Solanum lycopersicum: one gene and its partner. The protein of the gene in region 2 interacts with the protein of the main gene of each other region in a pairwise test. Links are inferred from orthologs where the notes say so. Each region holds a gene or a part of one and is shown on either strand. Other genes may lie near its edges. The genes, in order: guanine nucleotide-binding protein subunit gamma 1 and guanine nucleotide-binding protein subunit beta.

Region 1 (4,544 bases), on a different chromosome or scaffold from region 2:
AACCAAACAAGCACGAGGTGTTGTATTTCTCTCAACATGTTCTATTTCCCAAGTTTGATGTGTAAGATCACAGGGACGTAAAATTAATTTAAGCAACTATGAACTAAGACTAGGTCAAATATTCATAAAGGTAACACCTTACAGCTCACAAAAACATCAGCGTAAGCTCACATTTTATTTTTTATAGTGGTGGTATCCTGGACAGATTGTGCGCACATCAACACACACAACCCCCCTCCTCAGCACATTGGCAGACATATTAGATACCTACACCTCCAACCATGCTAAAAGAGATGTAATTTGATAAGATTGGGTCAATTTCTAGAGAAAAAGTTTCGAAAGTCAATATATATGAATCACATCGAAATGCTACTTGTGAGTGATAATTAATCACTCTACGAACTAATATTTATGAGCATTACCAGACATTTAAGTTCAAATTATTACTCTATCTTACTCATTCTTATGACGTCTAATCATGATTGATACCATTCTGTTTTTGTACAGCTTTCACAATTTTCAAGAATTCAAATTGATAAAGTGGTTTAAATTTTAAACTTTGATGTAATGTTTTTCTATTAAATTCATGTTTTCTCCAGAAGCAGTAATATAGTTGCAAGTCAAAATTAACATCTTATTTACAATGTTCAATCAAGTCTTTCCATATAAAAAAGGACGAAGCCTGAAGGAGTAAAATATTCTAGACCTTTCTCAGAGATAATGAAATGATTAAAGGAGTGAAGCTACAAACTCATGTCAAGAAGCAAAAGTCAAAAAACAAAGATTCTAATTGCACAGTTAGAGAAGATTCTAGTATCTGTCTCCTTCCATATATAATCCGATGACCATGAAAATTTGTCTGCTTTAGAAATCCTCACAGCTAGATACCCCCAACCACCACAAAATCTTCAAATATTTGCATTTATATCTCGGAATCTCCTCCACATGTATTCCAGGGGTGACGAAGAAGAAGATTCCACTGTGTAGCTAGGTAAAAAAATTCCTTTTTATGGATATATAGTACATATTGACTCCCCTTAACTTCTTCGTAGGTCTACTCCTTTAGAATTTTGACTCCAGATATATTAAAAATCCTAGCTCCACCACTGTTTCCCATAATAAACAACAAAATTCACAATCAGGAAAAGCCAAAATAACAGAACAGCTTATTTTGTTTTCTGGCAGTGAAGCAACTCAGTTTAATTACTTTGATTGGTTTGTGGTCCGATGATACTTTTCCTACTCCAGGTTTCTATTTTCCTTGTACCACCCCACCCCCCTGCCCTACCGTCTCTTTCTTCCTCCCACTCCAACATCAAATAAGTAAGGACTTCCAGTGTTCAACTAACAACTCCATAATGGACTGAAACAATGTTCACTATATTCTTCTGATTTCAGATGTTTATAAAAAGGGGATACCTGTTAATGCCTCATCAGGTACAATATCAACAGTCTTTTTTATATATAGTTGCAAATCAAGCCTTCAAAAACTTTTAAGCAACACAAATAGAAAGGCATTTCAAACAATAACATGTAATATTGTGCAGTCTGTGCAGCAGTTTTTTAGATGGCCAGAATTCATGGTTGAAGTTCGATACTGGTTTCCAATGAAACATCAGTGAGCCCTAAATGTCCTATTTTCAACAGGTTTATAGGCTCTCGGTAAAAACTCCATGCCAAGTCCAAAACATATTCAAATAATTATTATTCGAACTCTCAAAAACAATAAGATTTCACTTCAAAACTCAAATGAACTCTCCCTACTACATCGAAAATGAAATGAAAGGGGACATACACCCTCACACTTCCACGACTCAAGAACTTTAATCAGATATGTAACATGAAATAGCTCATTTTTCTATGACAAGGGACTTCACAGCCACTACTCCTTGGGTGACCACAGGGTAAACCTCACAACAGCTCGGAAACCACACAGGAGAGGTAAACCACACTATGAAAGTGTGTGCTAGAAGATGAAATAGCTCATTGGTACATTAACTCAACCAAAAAGGTGAATAAGCCCCTCTTTTCAGAATTGAAAGTAAAGAAAAGCTCTTTTTTTTCAGTTAATGGTCAATCCATTTCACATATTACCAAACACATATAACGATAAATCCCTTTTTTTTAACATCATTCATTACTCCTATCTGCACTGTGTACCAATACAACACAACACCCCCTTTGAAGAAAGATTCAAACTTTTCCTCATACATATCAAATTCACAACAACCATATTCAGCAAACCAGAAAAAACAGACAATTTTTAAGCAACAAAACAAAAAAGTTAATAAGAGACATCAGAAGAACCTCTAAAAAACGAGTTTCCTGCTCAAGTCTCTTCAATTCAGCAGATATCCGATGCTTCCCTCTAGTATCAGCTGCTGCCACAACCGATCTCACCTGTTCTGAGCTCTCTGATTGCATTTCTCACAATTAATCAAAACCCAAATACCTATAGAATCAGAAAAGTTCAAAAACCAAAAAAAGGAAAGAACTTCATTTTATACGAAAAAACAAATCCCCAAAGAATCAAAATCGTGCAAGTGAAGCCAGAGATTCTGTAACTATTCAAAGACTAAAAACAAAAAACCCCATTTGGAAAAAGAATCAAGAGAACACTCAATTTTCATTAAAAAACAAAAAAAAATTGAGATTCTGGAACTGTTCAAGAAACCAGAAAAAGGGTTTTAGCAGTTTCTGCAGAACAAGAAATGGACAATCGAAGAGACAATGCAGAAAGTGGGGGTAGTAGAAGTGGGGTGGGGGGTTTACTTTTGTTTTGTTGTTCTACAAAGTGAATTGAAATGTTCCAAGGGATAGGCAAAACAGAAAGAACAAAGAAGAAAGATGAAACCAAAAAAGAAGAAAAAAAAAACAAAAAGGAAAGTTGGCTTTTTTGGTTTTTAAATTATTTTTTCTTTTTTGAATAATGAGAAAGTTGGTAATCTTTTTTCACTTATTTTACTTTACAAAAATATTCTTCCTTTTTTTGTCTCTTTTTTCTTTTTGCTTGTGTTTGGGTTATTGTGGTTTGAAAGTAGCTGTTTGTGACGTGAAATCAGAATTTTAATTTTATAAATAGTATTATTATACCGTTAAATTCTATATTTAGTATACTTCTTAAAAAGAAAAATGAGCTAACAGTTGAATTTATAGTTCAAACTCCAATTTTAAAATACTAAGAGGATTGAACAGGATAAGGGAAGTCTTTCGCAAAATTAGAGTTTAAATTTTTTGAACTTTAATTTTTTATAAGGAATAATGCATAAGTATGCCCTTATATATTATTTAGTGTACTCTTTATTATAAATTATATCATTTGAATAAAGATAATTGAATTCCGTATTTGAGTTTTTAACTCCACTTCAAATGAGTGTCAAGAAGGTTAAAGGGAAGAACCCACTGTTGAGTTCAACTACTGAGCACTTGGAAGTTGAAACACTGATTTGTCACCCTCAACAGTAAGCTACAATATAAATCAATATCAGTACCATCTATATTGATTTATATAGGAGAGAAATTATAATTTATATATATACAAAAAAGTTTATTTATCCTAATTTAGGTAATATTATTTAATTAATTATGAGATTTAAATAATTTATTGATTAAATCATTGGTTTACAACAAATCATTTTTTTTTACGTTACATTTCAAATAAAAGATCATTAATCTTATCTTGCTTGTAAACGATAAAAATAAAGAAAAGATAAATTAGGAAAGGAAATAACTTAACTTTGTATTTGTAGTATAATATAAAATTTAGATATTTATATAATTGGAAATTATCTCACTAAAAATACAAAGTGATTCAAGTTAATATTACAAAGGAAATAAGCGTTCAATAAAAATGTATACATGAATGACAATGATGGATGTTATTAGAGGTACGATGAGTTAAAAAATGTTAGATGAAAATGAATCGACAGAACATGAAATATTTAAATTCATACGGTATGCTAACCTAAGTTTTTGTTTTTTTTTAATTGTTGAATTTAATTATTTTAAATTCATCTAACTTCTTTATTCATATTTTTTTTCAAACTTTTTTTGAAATTTTTTTTTAAAACCAAATGACTAATAGGAATTAACTTAACATACAGTGCTAAGGTAATATAGTGTGAGACTTTGCACTGTAATATACTTTTAATTTTTTTTTCAAATTTCACTTAATGAAAAATTATTAAATAGATTATATATCGCTATTAATTTAAGTTATCTTCAATTAAGATAAAAGAAGCTCCCAAAGCTGGCAGAGAGGAGCACATGGGATTTATTTTCTGTGGGAGGAAAATAATTTATTTTTTTCCATTTTTAGTGAAGACAAGTTTTTTTCTGCTTTTTTTTTTTGGTATAAATAAATTACCTCCAGAATATTTTCTTGCCCATATTTGATATTTATCACGTGTACACGTTTACATTCAACAATTCTATTAGCGTAAAGAGGAAAAGAAACAAATAAATAATAATGCGATCATATTTGAAATCTTTTTCAAAATTTATCAGAATTCGTAAATTTAAGTCTTATAATAAATCTAAGTATC
Region 2 (4,377 bases):
TGTATATGATGTTCCCTTATTTACTTGCAATGGTCTCTCCATTAATACATCAACAAAGTTTTTAGAGGATATTATATGCACATAAAGAAGCAAAACTAATGAGCAAGTATGATTAATAAAGTATTCTCACTCAATTTAGTGAGTACCGGTACTTGGTGTTATGCAGTTGGGTAGTTCATGAGTATGATGATTCCTTAATTACTTGCTTTAGTCTCTCCACAGGTGGATTGTCATTTTTGATCTTTCACATTGTAATAGCTATGTCTTATAGCTGCCTCTTCAAAAAAACCAACTAGTTTCCGTAACAGCTTCCAGCAGTGAAATTAAAAGCGCTCGCTTCAGTGCTTAAAGCGTGAACTAAGATCAGGCAAGATGTGGGGAAGAGCACTTTATGCCCTGAAGCAAGGCTAGAAAAGAAAAGTGTGCGTCTCAGCAAGAAGTGCCTGAAGCGTGAAGCATCCTTAAGCGAAAAAAGCGAGATTTTTGGAAATTTTCAATGAAATTAGGGTTAATTCTAGGTCTAGTTTTAAAACCATTGCAACAGAGTCTTACACATCTTTTTCCTGCTGCTGCTACTCGGATTTGCTGCTCTTTTCTCCTCTAATTCTAGTGTTGCAATGTTATTTCTTATCTTCTTCTCTTCGTCCCTTAATCTTTTCTTGTCTCTTCTCCTCTCCTCTTTAAATTTTCATGAAAACCTACACGAAAATGTTAAACTCTTCCTCTCCAAATTTCTCTTCTTCTCTACTTCTTTTGGAATTATATAAGAAGAACAGGAAGAGTAAAACATTTGCATCTAGAATTTGGTTAAGAATTTGTCTAGGGTTTCATGAATTTGGTTAAGAATTGGCTTCTAATAGATAACTATCATTTTCGTCTAGGGTTCCATGAATTTGGTTCTGAAATTGCTTAACATGTTATGAGGATTATTTTTTGAGACAAAGTTAACTGACTATCTAGTTTTACTATTTTATGAGGATTATTGACTCCTATTGAGTTCTTGGTCATTTATCTATATGAATTTAATATTACCTAATTTCGTATTAAATCGTGCTTTAGTTAAAAAAAAAACCATGCCTTCACTTCACACTTCATTGAAGCGAGCAGTCGTTGCTTTTTTTCACTTATTGATTTCCAAAACACTGGCTAACAGCTAGTTAGATGTTAGCTTGATTTGATAGTTATCATGCTTTCCTAGTGTCCAAGTTTTTAGGTGGCACATATTAGTGACTAAGCAACATCCTTCCATACACGTACTCCCTCTGTTTAAGCCGTCTATACTTCTAAAACTACGTGTCAAGTCAAAACTAGACAAACAAATTGAAACGGAGGGAATATAATGCATCATTCAAGTTGAAAACAATAGATTACAATCAACTATGTTAGACCCTTGTCAAGGACTAATTAACCAACTCTGCTCTTGTTGATTTGATCTTCTTCTACTGCTCTGTGCCTCCACTTTTTAACTTGTTGTTTATTATTTCTAAGAATTATTTTGTCGCCATGTTATGTTTTGACTTTGAGAATAAAATTCAATTGACACTTTGTCAAGTAACAATAGTCACAATGTACTAGGTTTAGTCACTTCCAATCATACAATAGTTGTCGATTTTACTTCAAGAACCAATTACCTCGTGCACCCAGCAATTACTCGTCTACTGAAGGGAAATGTGAGAAGGGAGTAAAGCAGACTAAAGAAAGAAAAGAGGTGACAGTTAATACTCATATAACAACCACACCTTGAAGAATAGAGTAGTTAAAAACATAAACTTGCTCAGCCCTTACACTAAATTCATGCATGCACAGTTCAAAAAGAGTTTGTGCTAGCTTCGTACTTGTTAGGGGGCCTACGATAGCAGTAAGACTTTCAAAATGTACTCGCTTTACTGCATTGTTAACGGTTAAACATGCTAACAGGACCAGCCATAGACCAAAAAGACAAAAATCCATGGTCTCAAATTCTCGTCCTGAACTCAATATGATGGTGTTTGATTGACTGCAAAGCTCAAGATCTTAATCTAGCTTGTTCATTTCATTAGCAAAGGTAGAAAAATACACAGAAAATATATATTAAAAAGTTGGTTTCATAAACAAAAAATCATATCAAGATTCAAGAACTTTTTTTCAATATTCATCAAGATTCAAGAATTAGAATATAATTAAACGAATTTGAGTTAATTTTTCATCAAGATTCAAGAATTAGAATATAATTAAACAAATTTGAGTTTAAGTCGTGAAAGTAATCGATCAAACAAACAATCCGTATGTATATACATATAAATTGTAAGAAAGAAAGCATGAATTTCGTTATATAAATTTGAATCTCAAATTCAAAAAAGATGGAGAAAGTATCTAACCTTTCCAGTGTGTCCTTGCAGGATCCTACAACAAACCAGATCTGTTGGGCCGAACGTTACCGGAGTTTTACCTTGCGTCTTTGCATACCCAGAAACTGCGAAAAAAGAAAATAAAAAAAAAATCAAGATCTCTGGAATAGTTACGGAAACAGCTTCAAATAAGAAAGAACTTACCATCGGTGTCGAGTAATTGGAGACGCTTCTGCTTAAGTTTTTCACGGAGATCATTTACAGTCTGTGTGGCGGCCATGTGCCGCTCTTTCAGCTCCGCAACTGACATTTCCTTAAGGAAATTGAAACATAATTTTCACAAAATTGCAAGATTTTATTTTTTGCTTGGATTAGGGTTTTTGAAGAAGAAAGAGAAAGAGGAGAGAGAAAGAGTGGCTGAGACAGCGGCGAGTCACGGAAGTTGGTGGTGGTGTGAGGGTGGTTTCAGCCTTTTACAGAGAGCTGTTTGACTGATAGCCGTCGGGCCCACCGCTGTACATGACGTGTTCTTGTGGGGTCCACATGACTTCATTGACCGCGACTAATGAGTCCTCTTTGGGCTTCCGGCCCAAAAGAGAACTGAGAGTATTTCTTTATTATAGTATTATGATTTATTTTATGGGAAAATTATGCGGATAAGCAAATTTATATTATTTAATTACTCATCATGACTATAGTTTGTTATAATTATCATTTGATATTAACATGATATATTAATTATGTGAACTGACTTAGATTTTATATAATATTTATGTTTGTATATGTATAATGCGCGTGGATATACAAATAAATATGTATAATATACAATTGTTTAGTCTATATACATGTACAATTCACCTCTCTGCCCTTTTTTACTCGCCTCTCTCTTCCCTCTCTCAATCTCGCTCGCCTCTCACCTCCCACCTCCCTCTCCCGATCTCGCTTCCATTTATATAAATGTATATATATAAAATACAGTTATATAAAATTATATACATATATAATTCAATTTAAAGTCAAATATATTTTAAAGTGAAGAAGGGGCTTTGTCCTAAAATATTTGTTTTTTTATTTTCGAAATTATTACTTTTGTGACCTTAGATTGAGTCAACTTGTCTAGACTTTTTAACATTGATTGCTTCTCCCAAGTAAATCTCAGTTCTATCCTCAACCGTTAATTATTGTGTGATTTATTTATGCTAAACACGTGAATTTATTACCCTAGAATTCTATATGAAATATGGTTGCAAATATATAAATGGTGGTCTATGGGATTTGGCAACTACAAAAACTCATGTCTGGTATCTTTTATTATATAAATAATTATTTTCAAGCAAATAGCAAGACTACTGTTTTATAATTTCATGGATCACGATTACAAGTTTTTAATTTACTTCGTTTTCTTTTAAATTTTTACTTTTTGCTTGAGTTTGAAAAATAGATTTCATGGATCACGAATACAAGTTTTAATTTGGTTAATAGAATACAACTTTAAAGAGTAGTGTCAAATTTATCAAACAAATTGAAGCTGAGAACAAAAATAAACTATATCGGATGTTTCCAATGGTCTGCCAATACCCCACTATCTTTAATCCAACTGCATTACTCGGGATATGTTGTTTGGAAAGAAAATGATAGTATTAAGGAACTATACACTTCAAATTTATATAGTTCTTCTTCGAAGACAATCCTGATCATTTTAGCAAAAGGAAAAAGGGGGTAGATGGGATTATTTATCGACCAATTTTTTTAGTTACATAAACTACTCCATCATAATAAAATATATTTAGATGCTTTGCGTTATAAGTTGCCACCAGGATAAGTACAGCCATTGTAACCTAAGAAAAAGAAAGAAGAAGACAAAATGTTATTTATTGACATAAAGACAAGGGTAGTTAATCAAGTACCAAATATGAAAGCTATAGCCTTGCCAAAACATGTGTTTAATTAGTTATTAACAGTTTGAAATTTGGATTAACATTTGTATCTAATTTGGAAGAACAGTTTTGTCATTGAATTGTTATGCCACATTGGATGTGAAATAATCATA

What was found.
Region 1: the proteins of guanine nucleotide-binding protein subunit beta (region 2) and guanine nucleotide-binding protein subunit gamma 1 interact in a two-hybrid assay, tested with the Arabidopsis thaliana proteins (2 studies listed by BioGRID, with this or other methods). The link is inferred for Solanum lycopersicum from reciprocal best matches to the Arabidopsis thaliana genes AGB1 and AGG2.

The regions. Positions count from the first base shown.
Region 1 is NC_090808.1:66,085,526-66,090,069, reverse strand, and holds the start of guanine nucleotide-binding protein subunit gamma 1, read right to left. Parts: upstream 3,055-4,544; 5' UTR 2,425-3,054; coding exon 2,308-2,424; intron 1-2,307. UniProt on the Arabidopsis thaliana protein: Guanine nucleotide-binding proteins (G proteins) are involved as a modulator or transducer in various transmembrane signaling systems.
Region 2 is NC_090800.1:92,558,783-92,563,159, forward strand, and holds the start of guanine nucleotide-binding protein subunit beta, read right to left. Parts: upstream 2,930-4,377; 5' UTR 2,638-2,929; coding exon 2,532-2,637; intron 2,453-2,531; coding exon 2,358-2,452; intron 1-2,357. Other genes in the region: glucan endo-1,3-beta-D-glucosidase, read right to left, coding at 4,128-4,165. UniProt on the Arabidopsis thaliana protein: Guanine nucleotide-binding proteins (G proteins) are involved as a modulator or transducer in various transmembrane signaling systems.